3 linked regions of the Schizosaccharomyces pombe genome follow. The main gene of each other region encodes a partner of the protein of the gene in region 2 in a complex. Each region holds a gene or a part of one and is shown on either strand. Other genes may lie near its edges. A codon is read from its position in the direction of its gene.

Region 1 (3,753 bases), 1.1 Mb from region 2:
CTCTGTAATGCAATATTACCAACAACTTGGCTATCGCCTCAGCACCGAGAGTCTGTAATTCGGCATTTTCGAATTCCCCTAAAGCTTCAAAAAGTATAGAAGAAATAGCATCTTCATATTCGGTGAACTTGGCTTTTCCATGTTGTATTAACATATCAGTCAATGTACGAATTGCGGTACACTTTAAAACCACAGAACCTTTCTCGTAACAATGTAAATACAAAGGAACGTTTTCAAATGCAAGATCAGCATTCAACAAGCAAACCAAACTAAGACACTCTAATCCTTTTTCTCTAATTGGCAAGTCATGGCTCCTCACAGCCGGGATAATTAAAGTCTTAAGCATGTCTACCATATATAAGTTTTCATTTAAGGAGGATGTGATGTTTTCAAATAGACACTGAACGTACGAAAGGCATCTTAACTCATTAAAAGCTTCTTTATATCCATCCATGTCGTCAGGTTCAGGCTCATTTAGTTCATTAGGTGGTAAAGATGGAGATGGTGACTTTTGCGAAACAGTAATCTCCTCACCCTCATAATCATTTTTATTCAGTTCTGGAGCATTGCTGTTCCCTTGTTCCTCAGTCTGGTTTTGTGAATGTCCTTGTTCAAACACCTCCGTAATAATTTCAACTAGCAATGAGCAAAAATCGTTTTCAGAAGAGCAAAGTTTCCTTAATAGTTCTATATGTAAAGAGATTAGTGAATCTGGAAGGGCCATAGTAGAAAGACTATTTGTAAGACTCTTTAAAAGCTTTCTGCGACCAATTTCATCAACCATGTCCTGGCTTAGACCAATGTATAACAGTTGTTCAATTATAAAACATGACTCATCATAAGAAGACTTGTCTCTAAGAGAAACATACTGCCTTTCGATATAATATGTAAGTTGAACAACTTCAGGCATTTTATCCAAAAGGTCAGTGTAATTTTTCTCTATACAAATTTCATTGAATGTCCTAGCAAGCAAGGAAGACTCAGCTGTAAGCTCTAACCAAAATTGTTCGGGGAATTCCAGCTGAGACAAACTATCCACGCGTACATCAAAGAATTTTTTAATTGCTAAAACTGCAACATCAGAGTTGTTAGACACATCAAGTCTCTCTAGAAGTTCCAAAAGATTGTTATCAGCGTTTTCAATCCACTGATATGCAAGCATATCAGCCGCGGCTTTTTCAACAGATTCATCACGATCATTTAATCCCCATTTCAATATCCTTACTCTCTTCTTTATGCTTAAATAACGAAAATCTCCTATTTTCGGTAATACTCGGGCATAGACACATTTTCGATTGGCAGCATCAACATCGCGTGCTCTTTCAAGAATAAAAGGGAGAGTTGAGTTGCTAACTTCAATATTTAAAAGAACAGACCTTCGCACTTCAGAGCTAGGATCGTTTTGCAATAAAAATAAAAGAATATTTCGAACATCGTTTTCTTCGTCACCGGTGTCTTCTTGAAGCCGAGATAAAGCAACAACAGCTTCAAGGCGGACTATCGATTCCCGGTCTAAAACTCTGGACAAAAGCTTTTCTTTGAGGGTATTGTAAAGGTCATCATCAATTTCTTTTACACAATTAACCACTCTGGCAATAATTTGGCAGCAACGATATCTTACAGTTTTATCTTTGGCATCTAACCCACGAAGTATATGTTTTAAGATAGGTTGAACAATGTCTATCTCAGGATCCTTCTGCTGAAGGTAATTAACAAAGGTTACTAGGAACCTCAAAACGCGGTCAGCATTTGAGTTTCCTTTTTTAACAGTTAATATAATATTTAGCGCCCTTAGGATGTCGGTTTCAAATCCTTCCTGCGTCCGTAGGGTAAACAATTTGTTGCATAGCTTTCTATGACCAGCAATTGAAGTTTGACTAGATGAAATAATTTGAATGCAAGACATATTCAATAACAATTATATTATGCCAATTTTAGTGCTTTTGCTGAAGTTGAGGAGCACCTCACTGGCATACCTACAGTTGGCTCTCAGTGGTAGGTTAAGCTGGGGTATGCAAACAAAAAAATGAACCCTTCTAGCTTAGGCCCACTTGAGATTGCAACATTCAATTTGAAAAGAAGATTGCTACCAAGTTACCGATTTATATTTTATTACAATCAATTAAAAGAAAAGGAAATACTAACTGAAAATGATATAGTATGTAAAATGTAAAAGAGGGAATATTAGAGACTAAGTACAATATATGGATCATTATTAAAATATGCAAGTCCTAACCATTGGTGTAGTCAAGTGAAAGTTTTTTTAGTCTCTCAGTAGTAGAGTGCACAGTAGTAGGGTTTTGAGATTTAAGTTTCATAGCATTCTCTTTAGCGATGTTTTCTAGTATAGTCCATCTTTCTTCTCGTATAATTTCTTCATCTTCTTTTTTCCGACGACTCTCAGAATACTCAGCATCAACTTCATCGAATAAAGAAGGATTAATGTCCATGAACAATTTTAAGACGTTACAAACCATAGAATGTATAACTCTAACAAAACGTCAGCAAGAACTAATAAACCACTTTCTTTATCTTAAATAAAGAAAATAAAAAGGGATTTTAAATGAGTAACTACTTACCTATTCCAGTGACTTTTTGAAATTTCAAAGAGTGCGGGATATATAATTGGTAGTATAATGTCAACGTTTTCTTCAACCAAATGCACGAAATAGTCGTTGTTAAAAAAATATAAAGCTCTTTCAGCAACTTGGAAATTTTGGCTAGATATGGATGTTGCCAACTTGTGGAAGAGCGGCACCTGGATCTTTAAAAACTCTGAAGGTTCCATCACTTCAATAATATCTTCAATTTCATTTAAAAATAAGACTTCTTTTGAGCTATTTACTTTCGGCCAGTATCGAAGTAAGCCCAAGACAACCTATATTGTCATCGTTAGATAAAACGTAAGAAACACTAGGAAATATACATACCTCTTCTGTAACAGATGAATCCTTTTCAACAAATTGAACAATTCCATAAGCAATTTGAGGGTAATAAAGGGGAAGGGATTTGGCTTTATGTAAAGGAATAAGAACACGTGACAAGAATATTTTGTGTTCCTCTTTTAGTGGTAGGGCAAATCCATTAATGATACTCCCGAGGATTTCCAACAGTTCGGCAATACCATTAAATTGCTCGTTCTCATAGACAAACTGCAAAAATAAATTATTAATTGAGCGCCTTATGAACGCACGAAGAGAAAGAAACTTTCCGTATATTCTATGAAGTGTAGTCTTTAGAAAATCACGTTCCCTAGGATCTTCGCTGTCGAACAATACAAGTAATTTCCTAATAAATTTTTGATTAATATACACCTTGGCTACGGATGTATTCAAAGACGGAGATTCAAAAAATCTTAAGAAAAAATCGTAAACAAGGTGAAGATGGGGCCAAGCAACTTCCAAAGCCGGCTCATCTTCTTCAAGATCCATGATTTCACCGGGAGGATTAGAAGGAGGAGGTAAAGGACGAAACACATTTACTGCAAACATATGAACAATGGATGGATACAATGACTCATCAATTGCTTCCTTTCGAACAGATATTAAATCAATGAGATCTTGAAGAGCCTCTCGCTTCACTTCTTTTCCGTAAAGATCGGTGGAGGGATCGTTGAAATCGAAAACAACGCAACATTGTTCTAATTTTTCCAACGCCAGAGAGTGCCATTTATTAACAGGAACATCTAAATAGACAGGTTAGTAAATTAAATTGGTTGACAACAAAGTATATTGATAACACCTCAGTGTTTGT
Region 2 (3,753 bases):
CTTTACACTACCAGCTTAATCAAATGTATAACTCAAGCGCTTCTGAAGCCGAGTCTGATCAAGAACTTTTGTTATCTTCTGGAGACGAGCGTGTAGAAAGAGGGAAGATTGGCTCAATAAAGTCTGTGAAGTCTGACGAGGCGACTCCAGTTTTTTCTGATACATCTGATGAAAATGACAAATTCCATCGTTTTCGTACAAAATCTAAAATATCAAAGAAAAAATATGAAAAGATGGAAGTTGACTATACTTCGTCCAGCGAAACCGAATCAGATGCATCAATACTTTCTCCTAGTGCTGCGATTCCAAAATCAGGTAGCGCCATAAAAGATGAACTCATATCGCCTAAGAAAGAGATTGATGAAGTTTTAGCTTTAGCTCCCAAATGGCGTATTAATGAGTTTGATGAAACTGGAAGCGTTTATTATGGTGCACTTCCTTACAATTATCCAGAAGACGATGTACTTCTTGACTTGGATGGTCTACAGTACTTGGTAAAAAATGACGAAGATTACTCATATCTTCAAGAGGCACTCAAGGATGAACCCCTCATGGATATCAACGATCCCAATTTCTGGGCTTATGAACGCAAGTCATGTAAATTTAAGAATGGGGATGTTAAGTATGGAGATACGGCTATTCTTCCAGAACCTAAAGGTTATTTTCGCTCTAATACTAGCGGTTCTGCTAAAAGTGAGGGATACTATATTATTCCAACTACCGAAAAATCACTATATCTACCACTTCGTAATCGATCAACCATCGATACTATTAGTCATTCTACAAGCCGTATCACATCACGAATGAATCGTGTTAACAATAGAAGATTGGCTGCTGGAGTTGAAAAGTCTCAATTGCCAGCCGAAGCTGACTTGCTCAGATTCAATGCACTAAAGGCTCGTAAAAAGCAATTACATTTTGGCCCTAGTCGCATTCATACATTAGGGCTTTTTGCCATGGAAAACATTGATAAAAATGATATGGTCATAGAGTATATTGGAGAAATCATTCGACAACGGGTGGCTGATAATCGTGAAAAGAACTACGTTCGTGAAGGTATTGGAGACAGTTATTTGTTCCGTATTGACGAGGATGTTATCGTTGATGCTACAAAAAAGGGAAATATCGCGCGTTTCATCAATCATTCATGCGCTCCTAATTGTATAGCTAGGATTATTAGAGTTGAAGGGAAAAGAAAAATCGTAATTTATGCTGACAGGGATATTATGCATGGAGAGGAACTTACTTATGATTACAAGTTTCCGGAAGAAGCTGATAAGATTCCTTGTTTGTGTGGTGCTCCAACATGTCGTGGCTATTTAAACTAGACAATGATGCTCTTGGAGAATTGATGGTACATGAATATATGGGCAGCTGTACAATTATAATAGTTCGTTTAAAAAGCACGCATTATATCTGATGGTACACTAATGCTTTTTATTTTTTAATATAGAATAGAATCAATTTTCTGTCTTACATCGTCTGCATTTGATATTGGTTGAATATTTTGAGAGTCAGGATAAATGCGCATACCATTCAGTGGATTGCATTCAGGAGTGATTTAGAAGTAAAATGTTAAGAGATATACTGTCTTAGATATATCCATTTGCTCCACAATACTACGAAGTTCAAGTTTAAATAAACGAAAACGAAAAATAAAATTCTCTTAAAACTTGATAGCTACTGAATTTTAGGATCCAAACTTGATTTGGTATTACCTTGTTAATTTTATATGGAAGATTTATAATAATTGAAACTTCACAAAATTTGTAACAGAATAATAAACAAAAGACTTTTGACTTTGTAATCGGGAAGCCATCAATGAAGTAAATTGGGAAATACTATATTATTTGAAAACAAATTTCAAAAGAAAAATAATGTTATCATATTGGCATTTATTTAGAAACTTATTTGAATCTTTATCATTTGTTGATTAGAAAGAAATATACGGCATATCGTTAAAGCGCGATATACGTATAGGCACACCGACTTACCACTTGTGAACATAAACATTTACTTAAATCAATGAAAAGAGCTAGTTTAGGCGGGCATGCGCCCGTTAGCTTACCCTCCTTAAATGACGATGCATTAGAAAAAAAAAGAGCTAAAGAGAACAGCCGTAAGCAGCGCGAGTTGCGAAGAAGTTCAGCTCTGCACTCAATAACGCCAAGAAGAGAATCTCTAAACAATTCTTCACCATTTAATAGCTCTCATCAGGTTCCTGTTCTTTCTAATTTTGAGGAATGGATTAAATTAGCTACTGACAACAAAATTAATTCCACAAATACCTGGAATTTTGCGCTTATTGACTATTTTCACGACATGTCGCTTCTACGTGATGGTGAAGATATAAATTTCCAAAAGGCAAGCTGTACATTAGACGGATGCGTGAAAATTTATACTTCGCGTATTGATTCTGTTGCTACTGAGACCGGCAAGCTACTCAGTGGATTGGCAAACGATTCCAAAGTATTGCAGCAAACGGAAGAAGGCGAAGATGCTGAAAATGATGATGAGGATCTACAGAAAAAGAAAGAGAGAAAGCGTGCACAACGTTCGGTAAAGACTCTCGTTAAAGATTTCGAGTCAATACGCGCTAAAAAATTTGAGTTAGAATGTTCTTTTGATCCTTTATTCAAGAAAATGTGTGCAGATTTTGATGAGGATGGTGCTAAAGGCTTATTAATGAATCATCTTTGTGTTGATCAACATGGACGAATTGTATTCGATTCTAGCGATACTGTCATCAAGGATTTGGAAAATAAAGATGTTGAAGCTGAATCGCAGGAAGCGGTAGTCGCAGCGCCTATCGAAAGCCATGACACAGAAATGACTAATGTGCATGACAATATTTCTAGGGAGACCTTGAATGGTATTTACAAATGCTATTTTACCGATATTGATCAGTTGACAATATGTCCCTCCTTACAGGGCTTTGAATTTGATAGTAAAGGGAATCTTGATGTCTCTCTCTTAAAATCATTAAGTGATGAAGTTAACATGATAACGACAACCTCCTTAGTGGATAATACGATGGAGAAAACTGATGCTGATGCAGCTTCCCTTTCTTCCGATTCCGATGGTGAAGAAGGACATATTGTGCATGCTTTGGAGGAAATGGCTTACGATGAGGAGAACCCATATGTTGATGTAGTACCAAAAGCAATGGACGAATCCGAAAATCCAGATTTTGGTGTGGATACTGAAGTCAATATGGCTGATGGAAGTACTATGAATGAAAATTATTCTATTATTTCTACTGCCGCTGCGAATGGAGTATACGAATATTTTGACAAGTCAATGAAAAAGAACTGGGCTGGACCCGAACATTGGCGCATTCAGGCATTGAGAAAAAATATCAATAACGCATCAACTGTATTCAACTCTTCCAATACGGCTGAAAGTTCAGATAATGTATCGCGTTCTCTTTCTTCCACGGAACGGAAAAAGCGTCGAGAACTTGATAACGCCATTGATTTCTTGCAGGAAGTAGACGTCGAAGCACTGTTCACTCCTGCAACCAGCAGTCTCAAGCTTCCCAAGTCTCATTGGAAAAGACATAATCGATGTTTACTACCTGATGACTACCAATATGATTCTAAGAGGCTTTTACAGCTTTTCTTGAAACCAAAGATGTCAGTTCTACCCAACGCTGATGGAGAAGGACAGCTACAACTGAATAAAGCCTTAGATGATGAGAATGATTTGGACGGTATTCAACCCCATGGATTCGATTCTGATGGCAGTGATAAT
Region 3 (3,753 bases), on a different chromosome or scaffold from region 2:
ATTGTTATCAACCAGAATAGTCGTGATCTTCGTTAATTACTTGTACCCGTTCAGGAACATTTTCAGCTTCGCTTTCGCGATAGGTCGGCGATCCGATTACATATCTCTCATTAAATCCATCGCATGATGTCTTTGGTTGATTCATTTTCTCATTTAATTGATTGTGTACTTTGCAAGCCCACGTAGTTGCTGCTTTTCGAGAACTTGTTTGTGGAGGATGTACATCTAGTATCTTTTGGAGTTCCACAGAGTATTCACCACATGGCATTGTAATAGCGGAAGAAAATAGATAATGTCTTAAGATATCTCGCTCATCTAATGTTGGTCTGTTTGGATAATTGGAAACAACCGTATGAATTAACTTCCAGTATGCATTTACCATTAAATTATTCGTGTTATTATCGTGCTTCGTGGACATCATCTCAATTGGTTTTCTACCTTGACCTTCTCGATCCGGAAGCGATTTAATTTCAGGCATAAACAGACGCCAATCTTTGTCTACCATAACACTGTGAAAGATCCATATAATAAACGATAAGATTAGTAGGGTAGGGAGAATCACCTGAATTCTTCTATTAAGGATCATGTTTTATAGTATTTAGCTACTTCGTTTTCCCCGTAAGAACACCTTCATCTACCAAATTAATTGTAAAGGAGAACTGCAAGGACAGAAACTCACGCGGCTTTTTTGATCTGATATGCGGCATCGCTATGTTGCAATAACGAGAAGGAATTGATGGTAAACAAAACTAACCTCCTGGGTTATACAGAGCGAGTGCATCGTTATATCTAATGCTAATTAACAGAAAAACTTTTAAAGTAGTAAGATGGAACAGGCTGCTGGATGATCCAATGCATTACCAAATTGATTTAGATAAATGTATTGCCAACCCTTTAATTTTTTTTTTAGATATTAAATATCTTTTATATCAATTCTATATGCTTTTTATTTTAAGACTCAGAAGAGTTTTAATTATAAGTATAGTTAATAGTTAATAAATATGTAGTTTAGTGATAGAGATATAACCAAATAACAACAAAAAAATTAACTAAAGTATCATTATTATAAAGTCCATTGCTAGGTTTTATCACTATAAAATTTTTTTTAAGTTTGGAATTATTTACTAAAAAAAAGAAACTTAACGTAAATAAATAAAAACTAAGAGGACTTGTTAGTTTTTGTTTAAAAAATAAATAAATAAATAAAGAAGGAAGAGTTTAGCTAAGTTATCAAGTGAGCATAGATAGCATATAATAATCTATGTTTACAGATTTAAATGTTTTAAAGATAAATTACTTGCAATTGCTTGAAGATATGAATTTGCGTTTGATTAGTTTAAATCAAAATGTAAGAATTTTGGGTTAAATTAACATATGGCAAAAGGCTTGTCAAGTTTAAAGCTAAAAAAATACAAAACAATAGTGAATTTGAAAAGTTGTTCTAAAAAACTTGGACAAATCGTTTCCTTGCATTAACATTTCATTTAAAGAGCTAATCTATTTATATTACTTACTGATTATTCTTTATTCGTGGTTATTTCACACATAGGGCTACCCAAACAAGGTAAATTTTTGCGTCGTCTTGCTAGATTTAATGAAGGAATACAGAACAAAAAATCTTTGAGCTTTATATTTATTGTGTGAATTGAAAGAGGATGTTTGCTTGTGCTAGTAAAAACTTAGAAACAGCAATGTATTCTGCTCGTCCTTTTAATATTTTGCTAGTGTAAAGTGTCAGAGCAATATTCTCTTTTACTTAATTTTCGTTTTGAGTTAACTTTCAACGTCCAAGAATACCAAATTGACTAGCATAATAATTTAATGTATAATAGACACATGAGTTTATAATTACAGGTAAAAAGATGTTTGAAGTCTTCCTTTAAATCAGGTGTGTAGGTATAAAATAAATAGATCATTTTCATCTAACATGACCTGTTTACACAATTATACTTCAGTCTTTAGTTTATAAACATGGGCTTTAGTGTAATTTAACTGTGGGTTTTTGTATATTTTATTCATTAATTGACTTCATCGTTGGGTGAAATGCTGTTCAACCGTTGTAAACAACACACCTCTTTTCACGACCACCCACTCTTTTAGAATTTTAAGTAATATATAATTTGTTGAAGATACTATCTTTATGTCTGACAAGGGCATCTTTCGAACGTCTTCAACACCCTCGATTGTGGATGTTACGCCAGATCGTGGTGAAAGGCCACGAAAGTTGGTTCGCTCAGTGCTAGAATCTCCTTCTCAGAAAGATGTCGCATCAATTGTCAAGATAGAGCAAACACCATCTCGCCCATTTTTCAATGACTTTTTAAAAAAAAGAATTACCGATTCTTTAAACGAACGCCCTAATTTGCTCAACAAATTTATGTCTGCTCAAGATGGCACTCCATCTAAATCAACAGGTTTCAATGAACGGAGTTCACAACTTGTGTCAGAATTTACTACTACAGAGGATATTGAGAATTGTGAAGAAACCACTCAGGTTCTTCCTCCTAGACTGGTTGTTTACGAGCTACGCCTAACAAATTTTAAATCATATGCAGGAACTCAGATAGTGGGTCCGTTTCATCCTTCTTTTTCTTCAATTGTTGGACCAAATGGCTCTGGGAAATCTAATGTTATCGATGCTTTACTTTTTGTTTTCGGTTTTCGTGCTAGTAAACTTAGGCAATCCAAAGCGTCTGCCTTAATTCATAAATCTGCAACTCATCCTTCTCTCGATAGTTGTGATGTCGAAATTACTTTTAAAGAGGTAAACTCTGACTTTACTTATGTTGATGGAAGCGAACTAACAGTTCGTCGTACTGCTTATAAAAATAATACTAGTAAATACTTTGTAAATGGGGTTGAGAGTTCCTTTTCTGCAGTTTCTAATCTTTTAAAGGAGAAAGGAATAGACTTGAATCATAAGAGATTTTTAATTCTTCAAGGAGAAGTCGAATCAATAGCGCAAATGAAGCCCCGGGCTATATCAGAAGGTGATGATGGTCTTCTTGAATATCTTGAAGATATCATCGGAACCTCGAAATATAAGCCAATTATAGAAGAGAATATGCAAGAACTTTCGAATTCTGATGATATCTGTGCTGAGAAAGAATCTCGTTTAAAACTGGTGCTCTCTGAAAAGGCGAAATTAGAAGATAGCAAAAATTCGGTTCTTTCTTTTCTCAAAGACGAAAATGAGTTGTTTATGAAACAGAATCAGCTTTACCGTACTATTCTATACGAAACACGCAATAAAAAGACGTTAGTTCAAAACTTGCTTAATAGTTTGGAAGGAAAATTACAAGCACATTTAGAGAAATTTGAACAAACCGAGCGAGATATTTCGGAAAAAAATGAAGAGGTTAAATCATTGCGTGAAAAGGCAGCAAAAGTAAAAAACGATTGTACTTCAGAGAAGAAAACTCGCCAGTCTTATGAACAACAGACTGTGAAGATTGAAGAGCAGTTAAAATTTTTACTTAATAAAGAAAAAAAGTTAAAGAAATCCATTGAGGCTCTTTCATTCGAAAAATCAGAAGCAGAAAATTCTTTAAGCTCTCATGATATTGATTCCCAAAAGTTGAATTCTGAAATTGCCGATCTCAGTTTAAGACTTCAACAGGAAGAATTGAGTTTGGATGACATTAGGAAAAGTCTACAGGGAAAAACGGAAGGTATTTCAAATGCTATTGAAGAAAAGCAAAAGGCTATGGCTCCCGCCCTCGAGAAAATAAACCAATTGACATCAGAAAAACA

What was found.
Region 1: the proteins of cnd2 (region 2) and cnd3 are in contact, whole or in part, in a crystal structure (PDB 5OQR), measured with the Schizosaccharomyces pombe proteins. Residues at the interface, in NP_587811.1 of Schizosaccharomyces pombe: Arg477 (codon at 3,454), Asn481 (codon at 3,466), Ala482 (codon at 3,469), Ile483 (codon at 3,472), Asp484 (codon at 3,475), Phe485 (codon at 3,478), Leu486 (codon at 3,481), Gln487 (codon at 3,484), Val489 (codon at 3,490), Val491 (codon at 3,496), Leu494 (codon at 3,505), Phe495 (codon at 3,508), Thr496 (codon at 3,511), Pro497 (codon at 3,514), Lys503 (codon at 3,532), Leu504 (codon at 3,535), Trp509 (codon at 3,550), His512 (codon at 3,559), Arg514 (codon at 3,565), Cys515 (codon at 3,568), Leu516 (codon at 3,571), Leu517 (codon at 3,574), Pro518 (codon at 3,577), Asp519 (codon at 3,580), Asp520 (codon at 3,583), Tyr521 (codon at 3,586), Gln522 (codon at 3,589), Tyr523 (codon at 3,592), Ser525 (codon at 3,598), Arg527; in NP_588207.1 of Schizosaccharomyces pombe: Ile4 (codon at 1,897), Gln5 (codon at 1,894), Ser8 (codon at 1,885), Gln11 (codon at 1,876), Thr12 (codon at 1,873), Arg39 (codon at 1,792), Ala40 (codon at 1,789), Asn42 (codon at 1,783), Ile43 (codon at 1,780), Ile44 (codon at 1,777), Leu45 (codon at 1,774), Val47 (codon at 1,768), Asn51 (codon at 1,756), Ser52 (codon at 1,753), Asn53 (codon at 1,750), Ala54 (codon at 1,747), Arg56 (codon at 1,741), Val57 (codon at 1,738), His84 (codon at 1,657), Arg87 (codon at 1,648), Gly88 (codon at 1,645), Asp90 (codon at 1,639), Ala91 (codon at 1,636), Lys92 (codon at 1,633), Asp93 (codon at 1,630), Val96 (codon at 1,621), Leu131 (codon at 1,516), Asp132 (codon at 1,513), Arg133 (codon at 1,510), Phe165 (codon at 1,414).
Region 3: cnd2 (region 2) and cut3 share a complex: the UniProt entries of both Schizosaccharomyces pombe proteins name them as parts of the condensin complex.

What each region holds. Positions count from the first base shown.
Region 1 is NC_003421.2:1,476,457-1,480,209, reverse strand, and holds the start of cnd3 (condensin complex non-SMC subunit Cnd3), read right to left. Parts: upstream 2,008-3,753; 5' UTR 1,907-2,007; coding exon 1-1,906. Other genes in the region: serine/threonine protein phosphatase PP2A regulatory subunit B-56 Par1, read right to left, coding at 2,232-2,490, 2,580-2,878, 2,931-3,685. UniProt on the Schizosaccharomyces pombe protein: Regulatory subunit of the condensin complex, a complex required for conversion of interphase chromatin into mitotic-like condense chromosomes.
Region 2 is NC_003421.2:410,340-414,092, reverse strand, and holds the start of cnd2 (condensin complex non-SMC subunit Cnd2), read left to right. Parts: upstream 1-2,001; 5' UTR 2,002-2,025; coding exon 2,026-3,753. Other genes in the region: histone H3-K4 methyltransferase Set1, read left to right, coding at 1-1,328. UniProt on the Schizosaccharomyces pombe protein: Regulatory subunit of the condensin complex, a complex required for conversion of interphase chromatin into mitotic-like condense chromosomes.
Region 3 is NC_003423.3:1,004,851-1,008,603, reverse strand, and holds the start of cut3 (condensin complex SMC subunit Smc4), read left to right. Parts: upstream 1-2,080; 5' UTR 2,081-2,140; coding exon 2,141-3,753. Other genes in the region: erv2 (sulfhydryl oxidase), read right to left, coding at 8-586. UniProt on the Schizosaccharomyces pombe protein: Central component of the condensin complex, a complex required for conversion of interphase chromatin into mitotic-like condense chromosomes.